3 linked regions of the Caenorhabditis elegans genome follow. The protein of the gene in region 3 interacts with the protein of the main gene of each other region in a pairwise test. Each region holds a gene or a part of one and is shown on either strand. Other genes may lie near its edges.

Region 1 (7,566 bases), on a different chromosome or scaffold from region 3:
GAAGCTCTGCCAATTTGCTCTTTTCGATGGAAATTTGCTCACGGAGTTGCTCAATTGTATCCAAATGAGCTTTTTCACGATGATTGAGCTCATTCACAATCACTTCTTGTTGCTTTTTGCTGCAAAATTACGAGAATTTGAGCGTTTTTCCTTGGATTTTTAGTTTTTTTTTAATTTAAAATTTGCCTTTTTTGCCTTTTTCCGGGTAAAAAATGATAATTTCTCAATATTTCACCTTTCCAGCTCAAAAAAAAATCGTTTTTGATCGAAAAAAAAAATGCATTTCAATTGAAATCCGTTGATTTTCCCAGAATTTACGGAAAAAATCGGGTTTTTCGTGGATTTTTGGTTAAAAAAAAAGTTTTTCAGGTGAAATTCTGCGATTTTTTCAATTTTATAGTGGAAAATCGCCAATTTTCCACAGAAATTTGGCCTTTTTTTTTGGCGAAATTTGAGAAAAATCCGGCCATTTTTGTCGATTTTCTTCGAGTTTTGGCTTTCAATGGAAATTTGAGTTTTTCTCGAGTTTTTTTAAAGCAAAATTAATCAATTTCCGACTGAAATTGCCCATTTTTGAGTGAAAAAACGAATTTTTTTGCAAAAAAGCACAATTTTATAGATTTTTAAGGGAAAATCAGCACTTTCCGTTAGAAATTACAAAATTTTCAAATTTTCAGCACTAAAATTGCCTGTTTCCTATAATCGAGTAGAATTTCGAGCTTTTTCTCACATTTTCTCCAAAATTGTCTCCTTTTCAGCAGTTTTTAGGTAAAAATCAGTGAAATATTGGTCAAAACGTGCATTTTTTTTTCAAATTATTCAGTTTTTTCATGACTTTGCTGCTCATTTTTGACCGATTCTAGACCAAAAATAGGGTGGAAAAACTCGAAATTTTCGGTTTTTCAGCGCAAAAATTGCCTGTTTTCTCGATTTTAACATAAATTTCCGTTTTTCTGAAAATTTTCAGATTTTCCTCGAAAATTGTTCATCTACTCACTATTCGTGAAACTCTGAAATATCTCGATTGAGCTCCCCGATAAGTGCCTCCAATCGCGTATAATTCTCAATCATCTGAGCTTTTTCCATCGTCCATTTCTGAGCTTCTCCGTCTTGATCTCGAGCTTTTGCCACTGAAAGAGCAGCTTCCAACTCTAAATTGTGTTGTTTCAATGTTTGATTGTGTGTGCTCAATTGAATCCATTCTTTTCCTTGCTTTTCAAGTTCAGCTTCAACATTTTCAACAGCTGCCGCCAGCTTCAAATGTGTCTGTTTTGCGTGCTCTTTTTCCGAAATAAGCTTCTCCTTTTCTTGCTCCAACTGCTCATGTAGCTTCTTCCATTCTTCTTGTTTCTTCTGTAACTGAGCTTCATGTTCCTTTCGAATCGTCTTCAGCTCTGTTGAAAAACTCGAATTCGTGCTTCTCAACAGCTTCAGCTCTTTCTCATGCTCTTCATTATTTTTGACAGCTTTTCCTGCGGCAACAAGTTCTTGCTCTTTCACACGAAGTTTTCCTTCAATTCCCTGAATTTGACGAGCCAATTCTGATTCGTGAGCCTGATTTTGAGCCACTTTTTGCAAGAGTTGTTGGCGTTGAGCTCTGAAAAACAGGAGAAAATTCGGATTTTAGGCTCAAAAGTGCAATTTTTTGGGTTTTTTCACATTTTTAGAGCTTTTTTTGGCGTTGAGCACTGAAAAATTGCAGGTTTTTAGAGAGATTTTAAGCGGAAAATTGAAAATTTTTCCAGCAATTTCAGCGTTTTTTTAGCCGATTTTTAAGACCAAAAGTTGAATTTTTTGCTGGAATTTGTAATTTTTGGCGAATTTCTTAAAATTCACCGTTTTTTGAAAGGAATGCCTGCTCGGACTCTTTGAGCTCAATTTTAAGAAGTTTTTAGGGATTTTTCACAAATTTGGAGCATTTTTTTGCGTAAAACTGTCGGTTCTCAGCCCGATTTTCAAGACAGAAAAGTTAAATTTTTGAATAAATTAGGGTTTTTACCGTTGTACAACAATTTAGGCTGAAAATAGTAATTTTTAAAACAAAATTCTACAATTTTCACGGCCAAAATGTCGTTTTTCAGCTGTTTGCTAACGAAAAATCGTCGAAAAGTCAAATTTCGGCGGGAAATTGGAAATTTTCAATCGATTTTGCCTAATTTCCGTCAAAATTGACTAAATTATGGTGCATTTCGACTGAGAAAACGATTTTTCATCAAATTTTGGAGAAAATTGCCTCTTTTTTTGTCAGAAATGCGTGGTCAGCAATTTTAGTTCAGAATTTTTAAATTTCGGACGAAAAAATATCATTCTTGGCCCAATTTTCATGAAATTTCGTGATTTTTCCACGTTTTCCATCGAAATTCTTGAATTTTCGCACAAAATTATCATTTTTAGACCAATTTTCATCAATTTTCACGATTTTTCTCAATTTTCCGCGTAAAAAATCGACATACTGCTCGTGTTTCTCGCGTTGTTCCACAGCCATCTTTTCTTTATTCAATTTCTCAATTTTCACAGCAGATTCCGTCATCTTCTTGTTCAAAGCCTTAACTTCCAGACTCAAATTATTCTTCTGAGCATCAGAATCACGGAATGCTCCAGCCAAGAATTGAATATAAGCTTCATCGAGTTCTGGGAGTCCGGAGAGCTTGTTGAGCACCTTTTTCTGATCCAAATCCTTCAAATTCACCGATTTTCGCTCTTTTGGAGACGATTTTTGAGTTGTTGGAGCTGCTGGAGCTGGAATTGGAGCAGAAGCCTGAGTAGATTCCACTTTTTGGACTTGAATTTCCGGTTTTTCTGGAATTGGAGCAGCAGAAGCTTTTGGTGATGGTTGTTGCTGAGCCGTTGGAGTTGGAGCATTTGGAGCAGCTGGAGCAGCTGAAGCCGGAGCTGGAGCGGCATCTTGTGCTTTTTTGCCCGTTTGCTGTTGCTTCTTTGTCTTATTTTTTGGCTGTTTCTTCTTCTCGTTGTTGTCAGTCAAAAGAGCCAATGCGTCGCGGTTGTAAGCCTGAAAATTTGAAAAATTTATAGATTTTTACAGTTTTTTTTTTGACTGAAAATGCCAATTTTCAGCACACAAAAATCCTTCTTTTTGGAGAAATTCCTTGGAATATTTGTTTTTTTTTTTTGAAAATATAATCGTATTTTATTCAGAATTTCCCCCAAAAAACGACATTTTTGTGCCTAAATTCCCATTTTTTAAACCAATTTTTATCAGGAAAACCGAATTTCAGCGAAGATTTCATCGAAAAAAACAAAAAGACGATTTTTGTGTTGAAATTTTAAATTTACACCTGAAAATTGGCATTTTTGGCCTGAATTTGTTCATTTTTGCCTTAAAAAACCGAAAGAAGCCAATTTTGAACCGAAAACCTTCTTTTTTTGGGAAAACTTCGATAAAAATCCAATTTTTGATAGGAAAATTGTTTTTTTTAAGTGAAAAAGAGCAATTTTGCTCATTTCAAGTCAAAATTCTCGGAAAAAATATCGAATTCCTCGTTAAAAATCGTCTTTTTTAGAATAAAAGTTTGCTGAAAATGCCGTTTTTCTGATAAAAATTAATTTTTTTCAACAATTTTCAGGCACAAAAAGGTATTTTTCGCAGATTTTCAGTCAATTTGATGAGAAAATCCGAGGAAAATTGCCTTTTCAGTCAGAATTCTCTGAAAAATATCCACTTTTCTCGTAAAAATTTAGTTTTCCTGGTTTTTTCGCGGGGAAAAAAAAGTTTTAGGCCAATTTTAGGTCAAGGAAAATCCGGTTGTTAAGCGAAAAAAGTCGATAATCTCTTGAAATTTCACTCTTCTGATCAGAATTCGTGTGAAAAATCTCAATTTTTCCACGAAAATCGTTCCGAACCTTGTCAAAATTATCCTCTTGTCGATTCATGAATATCATATAATAAATTGCAAACACAAATACACCAACACCACCGAGAATGCCGAGAGCTGTTGATGGATCGACGAATGACGAGTCCATTGGCTGAAATTATTTAGCATTTTTAGAAATTTTATAGAAAAAAGTGGGAAAATGGAGAAATTATCGAAATTCGGAATTTTTAATCGAAAAAATCGAGTTTTTGAGTAAAAAATCTCTATGAAAACGTGTAAAATTCGAAATTTTCGAAAAAAATGGCACTTTTTCAGTGTAAAACCCTGAAAAATCGATTTTATTTCGAAAATATCAAATTTCCCACATTTTCATAGAGATTTTTTACTCAAAAACTCGTTTTTTTCGATTAAAAATTCCGAATTTCGAGCTATTTTCAATGGATTTCTCGTTTTTAGTGGAATTTTCTATGTTTCTTCTCTGAAAATTATCGATATTTCAGCTTTAAAATATCTGAAAAGTTGAAAAATGACTCCTGTGTCGATTTACGCGGCTCTTGTGTACTCCTCGTGGAGAAGAGTTACAATTTTAGTAAAAATATCCAAAAATGCCGCATTTTTACTATAACTGTACAAATCTTCTCTTCTCCTCGAGAAGTACACAAGAGCTGCGTAAATCGACAAAGGAGTCATTTTTCAACTTTTCACATATTTTTAAAGCTGAATATCGATAATTTCCAAGAAAAAATATGGGATTTAATGTGAAAAATTGAGTTTTCAATAGAAAATTCCACTAAAATACCTCGAAATTTGAATTTTTTAATAAAAAAAAATCGAGTTTTTGAGTAGAAAATTCCACTACAACCGAGAAATTTCTTCGCTGAGATGCCAGTTTTTCGGGAAAATCCATTTCAAAGTTGAAAATTCTTCCAAAAAAAAAAAAGTGGCATTTCGAGCACTTTTCTTTACTTTCGGGGACGGCAACTGAGAATTTCACACAGAGATCGGCAAAGTTGAAATGGTGGTGATAAAAATGACAATAATAATTGCATTTCCGTTGGGGTAAAGACAATTGCGCGGGCCGCGGTGGAGACAACTTTTATATTAAAAAAAAAGTTTTCGCAGCCCGCGCGCGGGGAACGACAAAGTACACCCGAAATTCCGAAATATCGAGGTCAAATAGAAAATCATCAAGAGAGGGGGTGTATCCCTGTGTTAATCAATGAAAAACTTTGATACTTGAGAAACCTAATAGGAAGAGAAATTGTAGGCTTTTTGTCGTTTAGGAACACACTTCTGTAGGCCCACGTGGTCCCCAGGTTGTCCCATTACGGTTTGATCTACAAAAAATGCGGGAATTTTTTGCCCAACAAAAAATGTGACGTCAGCACGTTCTTAACCATGCAAAATCGGTTGAAAACTCGCGTCTCAAACTCTCCCGCATTTTTGTGTAGATCAAACCGAAATGGGCAGCCTGGCACCCCTGGTGTGTAGGCCTTGAACGTAGGCCTACCTGCCTGTCTTTGAGGCGACCGACTCCGCCTGACTCTCGCCTCAATACGTGTTACGTGTAATTTGATTTTTTAACAAATTGATAGAAATGAGAAAATTTGAAAACTCATGTCAAAATGCAGCAAAGAGGCGAAAGGCAGGCAGATTTCAGGCAGGCATCATTCTCTGAAGCCTTGCCTGCCTACCGGCGGTGTCAGTGGGAATTTTGCTTTGAAACACTCGAAAAAATAGACTAAAACAGTCAGTAAATTCGAAAATTTCAGGTAAAATCCAGTTTTTTTTTTCCATAAGATTAATTTTCTAGGAAAAAAAATTTGGTTTTACCGACCAAAAAAATCCCAAAACTGGGCAACATTAAAGTCAGTTAGAAACCCTGGTTAGGCACCAATTTTCAGAGAAACCTGGCCCAAAACCGGTCGATTTCCTCGATTTTCAGTTCAAAAAACTAAATTTCTTGGAACAAAATCTCAAAATACGGACGTCAAAGCTTCAAAAATTCCAGATCGCTGCTGGAAAAGCTGGAAAAAAGTGGGCGGCGGCGGAAATGCGAAATTCGAGGAATTTCGGGATCTGCTGCAAAGGAGAAGAAACCCCCCAAAAAAAGTACGGGAAATACCGCAGAGACACAGAGAAACAGGGGGCACTGCAGCCACGTCCTCTCATCCCTCCCGATGCTTCTGGACATTCCCTATTGCTCTGTCTGGTGACTCTCCACTCCACGTACACTATCTATTCGTGGGCAGCGCCAATGACAGGCGCTGGGCGCCAACGAGAGATCACGGGAAGCCACAGAGACTCAGAGAACGGACAGAGTGTCTGGTGTCTCTTGTGTCTTCAGTGTGCAAGTGTCTGCGTCTTTTGTGAAGAAGAAGAAGAAGAACTGCAAACGAAATTAGTTGCTCCGTGCGTGTTGGAGCTCCGTCTGGCTTTACGTCTTCATGTTTATTTGTTTATTCAGAAGCGTTTAATGAGCAAATACTCGGGCTCCATAGAGCGTTTTACTGAAATTCTGACCTTTTTTCAGCTGATTTTCGAATTTTCTGATGAAACCGGGCTCCGTGGAGCTCCTTTTGGGCTTATTTCTGGATTTTCAAAGCGGGAAATTTCAAAACTTCGAAAAAACATTGGAAAATGTGGGAATTTTTGAGAAAATCCCCGGAAAAATGTGCCAAATCGGAAGAAACTACTTCGAAAATATGAAAATCGAGTTTTTGTGCTCATTTCTGGTTTTCAGAGCAGATTTCACAGATAAATCGGAGAAACTTGAGAAAATGCCCGGAAAACCTTGAACTTTTGCGAAAATGGGCGAATTTTCGAGAAATCGCCGAAAAAAGTGCCAAATCGGAAGGAAAAGCTTCAAAATGCCAATAATCGAGCGAAAATTCAGTTAAAGTCGCTGGAAAATCCTAAAATCTGCTGAAACAACTGAAAAATCATTAAAAATAGCAGGATTTTCTCAAAAACCAATGAAAAACGCTGAAAATTGGAGAAAAATCTCTAAAAATCGACAAAATCGTGCAAATTCGAAGGAAAACGCTGGCACATCGACAGAAATCCAAGAAATTGCGAGAAAATTGCAAAAACCTCAGAAAAAACCTTAAAATCTGGAAAAAAGGTGGCAATTTCGAAAAAATCGCTGAAAATACAGCTTGAATTATCTGAAAATCCGGCAAAAAATCCAATGGAAAGCTGAAAAAACCGGGAATTTCCTGCAATTCCGGCGTATTTTTGCCAAAAACTGTTCCAAATAGAAGGAAAAACGACGAAAAAAGTGAAAAACGAGCGAATTGAGTGCGAAAATGACCTTGAAATGATGAGAAAACCGAACGAATTAGGCGAAATTCGCGCTCACCCGGCTGTGTGTAGGTCAATAACAGAATTTCGTGGGAAAATGCGATTTTTCGCGCGGAAAACGAGGAATTTCGTCAGATTTCATCATTTTCACGGGAATTTGACATGTTTTTGATGGGAAAAAGGCGCGAAAAATGTTTTGAATAAGAAAATGGTGAAAATTCTTTTTTGGATTTCCCGCCAACTTTAGGCAAAAACTTGATTTTTAGGATTAAATATGCGAATTTTAACCCAAAAATATCGAAAAAAAAACCGATTAAAAACTCGCTTTTAGCAGTGAAAAACGTCAAAATTCACTCCAAAAATGAAGAAATGATTACAAAATTTAAAGGCGCATTGAATTTCGAGAACAGCTGGGTCTCACCACGATTAC
Region 2 (6,117 bases), on a different chromosome or scaffold from region 3:
TCCAACAGAATTTCGAGTAAAAACATCTTCAAAGATAATCGGGCTGAAATAATTTCTTGTTTTGTGAGAATATTTATAAAATCAATATTATTTACCAAAATTCTCCAGGACAATCAGTTTCTTCGCAGAAAATTGTGCAGCGTGGAAGCTTCCTCAAATAATCCACCTTGATAATAGATTTATAATGTTCGAGAACCGATACTGGTGTTCTTATTAAACATTTATCGATTGGTCGTTCATTTATCCAAAATGCCTCACGAAATACTGCACGACGTTGTTTATCGAAAATGAGAAGCAGTTGTTGATTGAGCTCTGAAAAAATCGATTCCGATTCCGTTCAAGTTTAAAAAAAAAGACAATTTCGGATTAAATTCTTACAGGAATTACACAAACCTTTTGATTTTCGAAAAAGAATCAACATTTGTTGATATATTAGGGTAATTTTAGTGCTCCATTCGCATACATCGGTCTCAACACATCTTGTCGGATGATCTGAGCTATCGAATTGTTGAAGAGCCGCTTTCATCTCTGTTTGTACATCCAGAACAACTGTAAAATAATGCTTTCGAATTAATTAACTTTTTTTTGTTTCATACCAACTGAAACCGATGCATTAATGAGCCGTGAATTATTGACGATGAACTGTTGAATAGATCGAGTTGCGAATAATAAAGCATGTGCAGATGAGTTATAAACTCGTCGGAGTTTTGTGCTTTTTGTAGATGATGCCTGTAATAACTGACGCAACAGTTTGATCAGATTTTTAAACATCAAGCTATTTTTTATATTTATTCAAGCAAAATTTTAAGATTTGATCGTTTTCCGTATTTGAGAACTGCTCAAAATTCAAAAAACACAACGAAAAACCTAGGTGTTTCTTTTTTCAAAATTTTCCAAAACATTCAAATTTTTTCGCAAAAAGCTCGAATATTCTTACCGATTCTGATGCATTTGCCTTCCGTTGCCGCGTGGCTACCATAACTAAACTACTAAAAACACTCATAGTTATCGCAGATAGGTAGGTACTGTCAAAATATAAAGAACGAGCGGCGGCGACGAGTCGTGTTGGATCCAGAGGAATTTCGACAATTCTTTTTGTGATTTTCACGAAGGATTCATATTGTGGAGGATGATAACGGTCCATGTATCTATATTAATTCATGATTTTATGTTTAATCAATTGTTGGACTGTCTTACAATAATTCAATTTCAATTTCTAATTTTTGAGGCTCACACAAGTTCAATGTCGAATTGAATTGCACCGAAATATGGAACCAATCATCTGAAAGTAAGATAAAAAAAGGTGTTTCGATGATTTTATTACCTAAATTGAATTTTTCATGTTGATAAGTTACTTCAACTGTTTTACTGACAGCCGCTCCTTGATAGACATGTGCTAAAAGAATATTACTCGATGTTTTAGGCCTGAAATTAGAGAATATTCCAGTGAACAAATCAATAATCGACGGACCCAGTATCCCGGTCCCCTTCCGTATCGTGTGATATGTCTACTGATCCAATTTCCGCTGTTTTTCGTGGCCTCAGTCGAATCTGAACTGAACGTAAGCGATGATTTGTGGTTTTTAAAAACCTGGTAATAACCCCGATCAGACAAGTCGACGTTGAAGAACTCGCATAATTGAATACTCACATTGAATACCTGGTGAGCTTCAATTCGCATTCTACTCGCTCCCGCCTGAAGAATTATTGATTCCAAGCTATTCAATCCCTAATTAGGGTTAACCCAAGTATCATGAGAGACTGAAAAATGTTACAGTGTTAGAAGGTTACCAAAACTGCAGAATAACAGATTATAAAGAGTTCAACAAATAACTTTATTGACATTATAGAGGAAAACAACAAAGTTTTACTTTCCAGCGATAACCTTCTCGCTCTGGGAAATTTTTCTGAGAAGCTCAGCACGCTTGACGACTTGTCTCTCCTCACGGCGCTTGCGGCTCTCCTTGTTCTTGTCACGTCTGGCTTGAGCTTGGTCACTGAAATCATCAGGAATTTTAATATGAATAATTGATTGAAAGACTTCTCAATAATTTGGAAAAACAAATCATTTAAAAATAGTAAAACTTACGCAAGTTGCTTGGCTCTCTTGTTCTCAGTCTTCTTCTTGAAGATGTACTCGATGAGATTCTTCTTGTTCTTGAAGTTGTTTCCCTTTGCGCGAAGGTAGAGCTCGTGGTAAAGGTGCTTGTCCAACTTCTTGGCATCTCTGTATCTTCTCAGAAGGTTTCTGAGGACACGCATGCGTCGGATCCAGAGGGTCTTTTCTGGCATACGAGCATTGGCAGTACCACGACGCTTTCCGTAACCGGTGTGACGTCCCTAAATTCCAAATATTTTTTTTTAACTTAAAATGTAACTTTTAAAAAATCGACAGCATCAATTAAAAGAAAAATGTACCTTTCTGCGGGCCTCCTCGTACTCGCGTGCGCGGAAGCGGGAGTGGACAGTGACTGGCTTGCGGATGATAAGTCCGTCATTGACGAGTCTGCGGATGCTTTGACGGGAGTTGGCTCCAGAAATCTCGCTGACCTCATTGGGGTCGAGCCAGACACGGTGCTTTCCGCACTTCAATACGGCCGAAGCCAAACGTTTCTGCAGACGGAGATTGCTGAAAAATCAATAATTAAAAATGCAAATTTTGCACAATTCTCAATTAAACGAAAGTCATATCTTCAAAAGACGCTTGGACTGATCTTTCAATTGGAAATGATTTAAAAAACTCACCTCATTTCGTCTTGCTACCCAGTATTTGGAGTTTCCTGTAAAAAATTAATATAAAGTACACAAATAAAGAAATTTTCACGAAAACAACAAAAATTAGCGACACCCTTCAGAGAATCAAAATTTTTGCTTAATGGAAATTTGAAAGCTATCATTTTCTAATTTTGTACATCAAAAATTAGGCAAAAAAATCATTCCAAGGCTTGAAAAATCGAAAAGAAGTTTAGGAATTGAAGAGAAAAACTGCTATTTCCTCGTTTCACTACGAGACCTGAGCGCGTCAAAGGCGCATGACTACGGTAACACTCGTTTCAGCTGTGTCGTTTTCTTTTCATCGCATCTTCAGCAAACAATTGTGTTGATATTTTGAATAAAATTTTCGGGGGTATTGCATATTTTATTGTTTCATATTTTTTGGACATTTATTTAACACATGTATTTTAGAGATTTCTCTTACAAAATCTGAAAAATTTAGTTAGTGGTATTTATAAGTTGTTGGTTAAAGACAATTGTTGATAAGTTCTTCAGAATTTGTTAAAAATCATAGGTATTAGATAAAAAGAAACTCACAATTTTAGTTCAACGCGATAGTCAGAACGAATGAAAGTATTCCGAATAGCACTATTTTGAGGTGTGTTTCAAAACATTGTGAAAAATTACGAAATTTTGAAACACAACAACTTTATTTTTCGATGCTTTATTTTATTGTGAGGAAGTTTCTCAAAATTTAGAATGATTAAGGTACGAGAGTTATCAATCCATATGCAAATTATCCACATGATCAATCCTTGGTTCTTCTCCCGGATCATCTGGACCGAAAATTTCCCAATAGTGTGCCATTAAAATGACATCAAACATTATTAAACAACTTGATGCTATTGAATACCAGAAAAAATCAAGGTGCGCCTGTGATAATATTTCAGACTACAGATTGTGAGGAAACCTACGAAACTGAAAGAGATACCACATAGCATAACTGTTTTGAAGGCTCTATCGTACGAAGGAGAAATTGCTCTATTCTGATTCCAGTAAAATGGGTCCGCCACCGAGAAAGTTGGGAATGTTCCTGGACCAATGTTTAAAAGATACCCGAAAAATGCAAAAAGTAGAAACGATACGATTTGGGTGATCTGAAATAGTAAAATCTAGGAAAAGGATTGAAATATCACGTACAGTGCTAGGGGCGATCCATACAATTCCAACAATTACAATAATGACAATTATCATTGAGAAATGTGTTAGAACCATTTGCAGAGCAAAACTTCTTGGACAAATTACATTTCCAAACGTTGATCTCGCGATTCGTTCAATATGTAAAAACATAAAAATTGTGAGAATTAAACTGAAAGTATACGACTCCATCGTCGAAATTCCAATATTTTTGAAAACTTTAAATGACCCGAATATCAAGTACATATATCCAGTGGCAAATGAAATAATAGGCATCGTGTGAAATTTTTTTGTAGAATTCAGCCAGAAGTGTCAGAAATTTTTAGAAAAAAAGCCAATACATCTTGAAACCCTAAAATTAGAAAGACATACTTATCGCTCCCTCTCAACGGGCATCGGGTAGTCGTAGAGATTCAGAAAGTGTCCAAGGAGATGTCAGAAAATTCAAAACTTGTCGTTGATCATTAATCTCGAGTGAAAAAAAAATAGAAAAACAAATTTGACTTCAAAACTATTTATTGAAATTAAAAATAATTTTAAAAAGTCAATCGGACAAATGTACGAAAAGATCTTCATGTTGGTTTTAACCTTTGTAGCTGAGATTCTCATACACATTCTGAAAGTAAAACATTATATTCCTGCGGATGGGTCTCGCCACGCGAAGTGTAATTTTGTGGGTATGCACCTTTAAGATTACTGTAGACAGAAGATAGTTTTTTTAAAATAAGTAACTGGAAATTTCCTGGAAATTTCCTACAGTAATCTTAAAGGAGCATACACGAAACATTTTGAAACATATATAGCGTATCCTACTAGTGAATCACAGTAAAATAAGAACCTACATCTTCTTTAGGCTTCGGAGGGTCTGCCCGGTGACTATTACTGCTCGACGACGATGGCTTCATGTTCTGAAAATTAAAAGTATTTCGGAAGCATGCCATTATCAAAATTTTGATTAAAAAAACTTCATTGAACTTCTGTTACGTGGCAACATTAGGCAAAGGTTCATTAGTGACCGTGAAAATGAAAACTCGGCCACTATTGAGGGGAAGAGGATTTACCTTAGACTTTTCTTGGTCTTCTCTATCCGATTTCGGCGTTGATTTTAAAGATGGTGCCGACGAAGATTTCTGAACAAAAATTGAGTTTTTTAGATATTTTTCTGAAACAAAACACATACAGAGACAGTTGGATTCGATGGTGTTTTCTGAAACAGAACAATAAAATGAACATTTCCAATATTAAAATTCTTACCGAAACTGTTCCACTCCACTTTTGTCCCATTATTTTCAGAAGAGAATCAATGCAAACAACAACGTCAAAAATTGTTTTCTCGGTAACGGAGAATGAATTCTAGAAGACTTAAAATAATAACATCTCACGTTTTTGTTTGTGACCCGCCCCCGTGTCACACTTGTTGGAATTTTTTTGGGCAGATGAACTTTGAAGATTAGGAAAAAAAATCAATACTGAATTTATCACACTCAGTTTTCGAAGGATTAAAGTTCTACTGTGATCATCATGGCGACTGGTAAGTCATTTTCAGCTGGAGATTTACGTTTTAGAAATCTCCTGGAATCTTCTAGAACTTTTGAGATGCGGATATTGGACTATTGTAAATATGAATTGTACTTTAAAGCATTCAAAATAGTCTATAGATTTACATTGGACATTTTCTAATCAATTCTTCAAATACTTATTTTCAGCGTTGGATCAAACCGACATGGTTCAAATTCCCAACACTCCAACATTGGTTGCCGAGGAAAATGTACGATCAAGCTTCCGATCTCTCTTCATCTTTAGAATATCAAATCATTTCAGTTGAACCACAAACGCTCTAAAGCAAATCTCGTGGTGGCTCAAGAGTCTGTCGCAATGGAGCACATCGCTGCTCATCAGCTTCCAGCTCCCGAGCCACGTCATCGTGGACCGGCGATTAAGGATAAGCCGGAGAGAAAGGATCGTCTTCCGACGGTTGGAGAATATTTTGAAAATGATAAAGGAGATCGTTTCATTTTGCGTCAGAAGCTGGGCGATGGTGCAATGGGACATGTTTTTCTGAGCATTTTTGGTGGCAGGTTTGTAGCTTATTTGGTTTTTTGCTCTTTCCAAATCGCGGCAACTTTAAAAGAAGTGCGTCACGCGAACTATTCCACGCAAAATTTATGTGGTTTTCTGAAAACTACCACATCGTACCATGGGTTC
Region 3 (8,432 bases):
AAGATGTCAATGCTGGCCGTGCCGCTTCTAATCGTGGAGATCTGCCCGGAGAACTCATCAAATTGGCATGTGAATCACAGCACTCAGTGGAAGTTGTACTTGACTGTGCAGCTGGAGAAAATCCCAACGATTATTTCCTTCAATGGCACGTATGGAGCTTGCTCTATTCGGTTGGATACCGTACAATGTCAAAGACTTCGGAAACAAGACTTCACAGAAACTATTCATCTCAATTGGAAGCATCAAGTCTCTCAAAATATGCATTGTTTGTTTTGCAGCACATTGATGATGATGAAGAGTGAGTTGAATTTTAGAATCTTTCAATTTATAAATATATTTATCCAGAAGATCAACAGCAGTTCGTTCCCTCCTCGACCGTATTGCTCGTTTCACCGACAATGATATGTTTGATTCTATTTCCGAACAGTTCGATATTCCTTCGGAATGGATTGCTGATGCTCAATTCTCAATTGCAAAGTCAGTCGATGATTCTACCCAACTTTTCGAATTGGCTGTGGCTGCAAAGAACTATCTGGAAATTTGTCGCTTATTTGTGGATGATATTGCACCAACTGCAGTTGTAGCTGGAGATCATGACGCTCTCAAAGCAGCATGCGCGATGGTTCGTCCTTTCGAAAATCAGATTCCCGAGTGGGGTGCGACTGGAATGGTCTACACTGATTATTGCCGATTGATCAATTTGATCGAAAATGATGCGGAAGAAGAACTCTTACAGGACGTGCTTGAAAGTCTGGAAACTCGTCTACATGCTCCTACAATCAGCAAGAACAGTCTTCAAAAGTAAGCTATTGGGACATAAGTTTTTTTTAAAACTATTTATATAATTTCAGGCTCTCTCTTCAAACAATTGGACGTGTTTTGTTCGAGTACCGTGCTGATAAGAATACACTTCCAGAGTGGACAAAGCTTCTCGGACATCGGCAAATGTTTAAGATCTTCCGTGATCGTTCGTCTTGGGGAATCGAAAGATTCACAATTGAATTTGACTAGACTAGCCACTTTTTAATTTATTCATTTTTCACCTGATTCTAATTTTATTTTTTTTATTTACATTTTCCTGCCCTCTCCGTCTGTCTTCCTCGTATATCATCATTTCCCGAATCGTCTTTTTATTACTATGAATATGAACTTTTTGTAGGATGTTATTACTGTTGTGTTCTATTCACATGAGAAAACTAGTACAGAAATTTAGAAATCAGCAAAACGATAAATTGAGTACTCGAATTTAATTTAAAATTCAATTTCCGACCACGCGATGATGTTAATCTAGTACATCTTGATAAAAGTTGCTAAATAAATGGAAAGTTTTCTTGAATAATTCAGTCTGGCGGATTTAGCCAGTAGGAATGATCGTTTCTTAATTGGAGTGGTTCGCTTCGTTTTACGAGGTAGAGCAATTCGGGAGGCCCCACGAAAAGGGGAGCAGAACGAAAAGGGGATCTGCAAAAAGGGGATCTGCGAAAAGGGGAGATACGAAAAGGGGAGCAACGAAAAGGGGATCTGGCACTGTGCCAAACGCTATTTTCCTCGAAGAAAACGATACAACGATGCTCCGATGTTACGCGTCGCGTGTTGTTAAGCGTATCTTCTAGAAGAAAATTTCAAAAATCAACGTGCGCTGCGTGAGAAAAATTGCGTTTTGTGCGTTTGGCACAGTGCCAGCTCCCCTTTTCGTTGCTCCCCTTTTCGCAGATCCCCTTTTTGCAGATCCCCTTTTCGTTCTGCTCCCCTTTTCGTGGGGCCTCCAATTCGGTTATAGCTTATGCTTAGACTTAAAATTAAGCGTAGGCTTATGTTGATCTTCAGTTTTTTTTTTTTCAAAAAAGTTGTCCAAGAGTAATACCTTCAACGGACATTCAGCTTGTTTGACGAAACTAAGAGAATTCAATTTTGGTCCCTGCTCTGAATATCATTTGATAGATAGATAAACAAGAATTTTCATTTTACTATTGTGATCAAACAACTCAATGAAACGGGAAAGAACACTGAAAGATAAAAAGTGTGAAACAATGAGAAAATAAGTTAGGAAATCGCAATTTAGAATCCAGTATAATCTTGCTGCTTTGCAAGTTCGAGAAGCATCGGATCATCGAAGAACTTGTTAACGGAGACATCTTCAGACAAACCCTTGCGTCTTCTGGTCTTGATCATGAACTCTCTGGCGAGATGTGGAGTTGGCTGGACGTCGAGAGTCTTGATAACAATGGATTTATCGAGTGGATCTCCTGGTACGAGTTGCCAATGATGGAAAGCAGACATACAGAATGCTTGTCCCTGTGTGTGAATTCGAAGATCAGTTTCGAATCCGAACGAGTCCATTACTGGAATGTACGCCTGAAAATCATAATTTTAGAATATCATAAAACTATTTTAATGTGTGTTCTCTTTTAACATTATATTTAAACTCACGCTGATAGTGTACATAGGTGATCCTGGCATTGGTGCATCAGTGGTGACGTGACCACGTCGTTTAGCTAACACTGTATATACAGCAGCTACACAATCAGCTGGTGCAACAACTTCCACTGTATAGTATGGCTCCATTAATCTTGGCGTGGCCATAAGGAATGCAGAATAGGCACATCGGCGTGCAGTTGGGATCATCTGACCTCCACCTCGATAAAGTGGTTCTGTGGCGATTGCGGCATCGAGAAGTTTGAACTTCACTTGACGAATTGGTTCCTCACACAATGGGCCTTCTCTGGTTGCCCATTGGAATCCTTGAACAAGAGATTCTCTGACAGTTGATAGCAAGTGTTTGTCAACTTCCGATGGCAATGTGTCATCTAGAAGAATGTTGGGTCCTGTAGTATCAGGGCCAAATGCCCAAATTGAACGAGCTGCCAAAAGATCCCAGTTGTACTTGGTCTGGAAGAACTCTCCAAGACGCCGTCTATTCCATCCGATTTGAACAACTTCATTTTCGATGTCCTCATCCAACTGTTTTTCTAGAGGTTCAGCCATCATTGTGATTTTATTTCTGAAAAAATTGATTAAAAATTATTGTTTTGAAAAAATTGAATGAAAACCCACTTTTTGTTGGGAGTCTCTGCAAAACATTTCAGCGTACTCGTTTCGATGACAGTCTCGTTGAATGTGACAACTGGATCAGCAACTTTGATATCAATCTCTGAGAACACCTTTCGCATGTCGTGCATCACACAGTCCATATAAAATTCTCCAGTTCCGAGCAACACGTGCTCTCCGGATTCTTCAACTCTAGTCGTCAGCAACGGATATGACTTGTTGACTTTTCTCAAGCCATCCAACATTTTCGGGAGTTCGGATGGATTAATCGGCTCTACGGCAAGTTTCACGCAACTGCGAGTGTTGAATTTGAGAGGACGGAAAATGTAGACATCTTCCTCGTATCCCAACTCAGCAATGGTTGCAGTTTTAACAATTGGCTGATCAATTCCTTCAATAAGTACCCAGCAACCTGCAGGAACACGAGAAACTTCAATCTGATAACTGGCAACACGCACAAATAGTCTTCCAACTGTCATTCTTCGGCAATCTTCTTCATCTTGAATACTGTAGTTCTCTCCAAGTACACGGACGTCTGTATTTGCTTCCAATGTTCCGCTCATAACACGTCCAAATACATGGAACTGAGTTGCATCATCTACGGGATAATTCTTTGTTGTATGAACCATCAATGGTCCTTCAGCATTACATTTCTGCATTTCTTGAGCCAATTGGGAATCAGCTGGTCCAAGATATGTCTGCTCGATTTTAGTTTTCGCATTTTCAAGTGGTGATTTGATATTTTGAACCACCAAATCAACAAATGCACTGAAATCTCCAAAGAAGCGTTTACAGATGAGAGCAATCAATGGACGGACATTCATTTTCTGTTCTTCTTTTGACAAACGAATTCCCAACTCAGCCATCACATCAGGAAGGCAAGTATCGACATCTCCGACGACTTGCGAAAAGATCTTGTACATTGGCTCGAGAATGAACTGCACAAATGTACGTGGAGCATCATGGGACGGCGACTTCTTTACGAATTTGCGAGTTTTCTTCTCGAAGTAAATATCTCCCCAGAGACGGCGAGCAAACTCCTTTGAGTTGAAGGAGTCACCTGGAAAATAAAAATCGTGCAAGACATTAATTTCGTAAGCTTCTTACCATGTTGTTTCGCATAGATATTCGAAAAAGACAATAGAGAAAAGCAGACATTGTATCGTCCCGATGAAAAAATAACGTTGCCGTTAAGTGGAGAGAGTACTGGAACGTCTTCTTCGGCAAAAGTGCTCAATATATTATTGACTTGATCAATGATAAGACGGAGTTTGAAGTAAGCATCTGCTGGTGGAAGCTTCAACTCAAGAAGCAAGCGGTCGATCTTCGAAATGCACAATGTTACTGCAAGCCTCTCTTGAATCGCGTGGCGAATTGCTCGTTCAGTGTTCATCATAACACCTTCATGAGCATCAACCATCACAACAACTCCATCAGCAAGACGGTATGAAGCAGTCATTTCGTCCGAAAAGTTCACGTGACCTAAAATAATATATTTTGTACGAATGAACCACTATAGTTTAGGTACCTGGAGTATCAATTATATTGAGCAAATAGCTTTTGCTTCGACTATCCTGAGCCACAATGCTCACTGGCTGAGATTTAATCGAGCATCCTCTCTGCTTCTCAATGAACAAGATATCAGTAAATCGAGCATCTGCGTCTTCAGCTCTGTAGAACTCTGGATGAGTTTGTTCCATAAGACAATCCAAGAAAGTCGTCTTTCCGTGATGAAGATGACCAGCGATTGCAACATTTCTCATGATATGAGGGCAGTCCATTAAATCAGCTAAATATTCTTTCTTGTAGACAGTTTCCGGGAGAAAACGCTCAGCGGCTTGAAACTTCTTCTTGGATACTGGTTTGACAATTGGTTCAGTGAGTGGCTGAGCGTCTTCCTCTTGGACCAAGGTTTCTACACCTTCCCCGTATACTTCGAGAGCTGTAGCATAGTACTTTTTATCTTCATGAAGAACAACTTGATTCTGGGGAATTTCTTCTGCGTCATCTTCTTCCATTCTGTCTGGTTCATCATCCTCATCCACATCGCTACGATCTTCATCATCACCATTGTCATCAATATCTCCGGCATCATCGTCAGAGTCTAGCTCTGGACCGATATAGTTACCAAACTCATCGTAGAGATCCGAATCCATCGCTCGAGACGTTCAGTTCTGAATAATTAATTCGGTTATGAAAGACTTTCAAAGTAAAAAAGAAGAAATATACAGAGAAGTGAGTATTTGCCTAAAACAAAGAGTCCCAATGAGAATATAGAGCAAATATAAGAGCCAAGATTCAAAAGCAAAAAATACAAATCAAGAAGTAACTATGAACACACATTTTGCGCTTGGAAATATGCTAAAATGTGGTTTAAGATATTTTTTCAGCTTAAGAATTCGTTTTCGAAAATCGCTCCCCGACGTTTGCAGTGGAGCGCAGTTGTGGTACTTTCTACAGTAATCCACATTTCCAGAACAGCTCAATTATTCTTGGAAAATCGGTCAATTCTTGCAAATGTTTTTACGAAAAATTGAAAAATAATTAAAATATCATTTTTCTACTCAAAAAAAACGACTTGCTCGAGCAAGTCGAGCAAGTCGCGCTCCAAATAAACCTTGTTCAAAGTTTTGCTCGTCATTTCTGGCAACAAATACGCAATTGCACCAACGGCGCTTAATTTGCCGCCAATCAAAAATTTCAAAGATTAAAATTATTTTTCTCGTATTCTGCAAATCTTCTGTATTCCTCAATGCCTACACCATTTCGAGATCTTCATAACAAAAGTAATGCTTCAGCGTCATCGTACGAGTAAGTTTTTTGGAAGGATTTTAAGATTGTAGGAACATTTTTTGCAGAACAGCATGGAGTTCCAGCTTCAGCAGTCGAAGATCAACTAATAATGATAGCAAATCCAACTTAAAAGAAATTGCAAGCAGTAAAATTCATATATGATGAGCTAATTCTAAAATTTCAGAAAGATGAGCCAATATCAAATCTCGACGAAAGCATTTCAATTCTAGAAAATAATATATCCATGATGTCAGTTAGCTCTCCAACACCAGCCTATAGAACGCCTGCAAGAGTCATTGCAAGAGAAGCTCCAATGACTCCTGGTGATAGATTACTTCAGAAAATTGAAAAAGAAGATGAGAGAGATATGCTTCGACAGTTATATCCGGAAATGTTTGATTCCAACCAGAAACCACGTCAGAAACCAAAAGAAGTCAAAAAAGCATTGGTAATGTTCATATTTGAAATCTGAATATTTTAAAATTCAAAAGTTCAGAAAGTGGAGTCATTGTCAGATTATGAGAATGATGACAAGGAAAATGTTCCTCCGTGTGGAAAACCTTCGAAGGAAAAAGAAGAAAAGAAACAACGAACAAAGAAAATAGTTATTTCATCCGATTCAGAAGATGATGGAAACTTTGAAAACTGTAAACGATGCTCCAAAAAATATTCCGTTTTAATTTTAATTTTTTTAGATCTCAAAACTCTCCGAGAAAAGCCAACGGAGCCAGCTAAACCAGAGAGAAAAATTCCAGTTAAAAAAGATTTTGTAGTTGATGATGATTATATAAGCGAAGAAAGTTCAGAAGAAGAATCTGAAGAAGAGGAAGAAGATGTCGACGATGAAGAATATCGAGAATCAAGTCCAGAAGTTGAAGCGAAGATTAGCTATTCTGATAGAAAACAGAAGAAGCGACCAACTGACGAAGAAGAATGGTTTCTTCTGTCATTGAGTGAGAAGTTCTCAGGACCAATGTAAGATAATTTTTGAGAAATCGAAAATCGAAAATGCTCATTTTCCAATATTTCAATTTCTCTAAATAACGTCAAATTGTGGCGAATTTCCTTTTTTTTTGAAAAAAAATCATGCTTTTTTATCATCAAGATTAACCAACTTAAATCGATTAAAAATGAATTTTTTGTTTTCTAAACATTTTTTCCCATTTCAGTTTTCCGGAAAAGCTAAAAAATTTCCTTTAACGATATAAGATTTTTAGATTTTAGATTTTTCTGAAAAAAAAATCGAACAAATTTTTAGGACACCCTTGCTCTCGATAATTTTCCTACAAGTTTTGCAGAATAAAAATTAATTTTATAAAAAATATAATATAGAGATTAGTTGCTTAAAAAATATTTTTCCAGACACGAAGATGCCAAGGTGTATATCAAGGAAACATCTCTACGTTATAAAAAGCATCGCGAATCCCTTCTCACACGTCTTCAAGACATCCTGGTTCGCCGAATCTTTTCAGCAATTCCATCGGAAAAGCTGAAAGTCATATGGAACGCACGCCTTCGAAAATCAGCTGGCCAATGCAGAAATCATTCAAATGGAAACAGCACTGTCGAAATGTCACCAGTAGTATGTACAACTGCTGAACGAGTACGAGATACACTGATCCATGAACTGTGTCATGCAGCAACATGGGTGGTCGACAGGCTTCATAAAGAAGGTCATGGCCCAGGATGGAAGAGATGGGGAGCTCGATGCTCTTCGGTGTTCAAGTCACTTCCATTTATTGAAAGATGTCATAGTTATGAGATTGAGGCAAAGTTCTTCTATGTTTGTGAGAAAGATGGATGTGATGTAGAGTAAGTTTTTTAATTTATCTAGATATATCTGATAATTCATTAAAAAATAATTTTCGAAAATAATACGTCCAAAAAATAATATAATTTAAAATTTACCTTATTTTTCGGGATTTTGAACTGTCACAAAAATTTATTAATAGTCACAGTCTTATCGACTAGAATTTATAGGAGAGTCTTATAGGGAAGCAAAACACCAGAACCGTCAATCTGATAAATTTCCAATTTCCAATACATAAAAATATAATTTTTCTCCAGAATAAAGCGTCAATCGAAATCTCTCGACACCTCACGAAAAGCGTGCGGAAGATGTTTTGGCAGATTCATTCTCTACCGTTATTGCCGCCGAACGAATACTCGAATCCGTATTGAAGATCCTAAAGCCAAGCCGGTTGGTCCAATTCTTTCCAATTCCTCAAAGCCATCTCCACCAGCTCCTCGTCGTATTGTCAGTGAGCATCCAGAAGGCTTCAAGGAATATTCTGAAGAACACTATTGGAAATACACTGCACAAGGACTAAAACATTCGGATGTGATGGGGAAATTACTAAAAGAATTCAAGGAGCTCAAACAATTATAAATTATTGCTATCATTTATCCGTGCCATGTGCCATTTATCAAAATTTAGTTTGAATTAATCTACGTCAGATTTCTGGATCTTATCGAAAGATTCCCGATTGTGATCAAAGTATTTGATTTTTTCAGAATTTCTTTGTGTTCTTTCTTCAAATCAAATTCATCTCCAAGAGATTTAATTTGATTAATACTCAATAAATATATAT

The links.
Region 1: the proteins of eftu-2 (region 3) and tcc-1 interact in a two-hybrid assay, tested with the Caenorhabditis elegans proteins (one large-scale study listed by BioGRID).
Region 2: the proteins of eftu-2 (region 3) and rpl-19 interact in a two-hybrid assay, tested with the Caenorhabditis elegans proteins (one large-scale study listed by BioGRID).

What each region holds. Positions count from the first base shown.
Region 1 is NC_003283.11:17,852,006-17,859,571, forward strand, and holds the start of tcc-1 (Ribosome-binding protein 1), read right to left. Parts: upstream 3,985-7,566; 5' UTR 3,982-3,984; coding exon 3,862-3,981; intron 3,011-3,861; coding exon 2,454-3,010; intron 1,598-2,453; coding exon 998-1,597; intron 120-997; coding exon 1-119.
Region 2 is NC_003279.8:5,482,963-5,489,079, forward strand, and holds rpl-19 (Large ribosomal subunit protein eL19), read right to left. Parts: upstream 2,781-6,117; 5' UTR 2,751-2,780; coding exon 2,746-2,750; intron 2,630-2,745; coding exon 2,419-2,629; intron 2,341-2,418; coding exon 2,090-2,340; intron 1,998-2,089; coding exon 1,868-1,997; 3' UTR 1,817-1,867; downstream 1-1,816. Other genes in the region: C09D4.4 (DUF676 domain-containing protein), read right to left, coding at 1-43, 96-312, 394-549, 597-738, 938-1,148, 1,198-1,282, 1,325-1,425, 1,472-1,551 and 1 more; C09D4.6 (Cytochrome b), read right to left, coding at 3,757-4,188; C09D4.9 (Protein AF-9), read right to left, coding at 4,496-4,528, 4,755-4,820, 4,974-5,042, 5,093-5,119, 5,167-5,196; C09D4.3 (Protein kinase domain-containing protein), read left to right, coding at 5,434-5,443, 5,619-5,680, 5,734-5,990.
Region 3 is NC_003281.10:6,006,352-6,014,783, reverse strand, and holds eftu-2 (Tr-type G domain-containing protein), read right to left. Parts: upstream 5,225-8,432; 5' UTR 5,205-5,224; coding exon 4,577-5,204; intron 4,531-4,576; coding exon 4,156-4,530; intron 4,109-4,155; coding exon 3,055-4,108; intron 3,002-3,054; coding exon 2,431-3,001; intron 2,356-2,430; coding exon 2,059-2,355; 3' UTR 1,944-2,058; downstream 1-1,943. Other genes in the region: npp-10 (Nuclear pore complex protein Nup98), read left to right, coding at 1-298, 346-801, 852-1,011; gcna-1 (Germ cell nuclear acidic-1 protein), read left to right, coding at 5,801-5,859, 5,907-5,979, 6,026-6,289, 6,338-6,488, 6,537-6,816, 7,204-7,653, 7,909-8,230.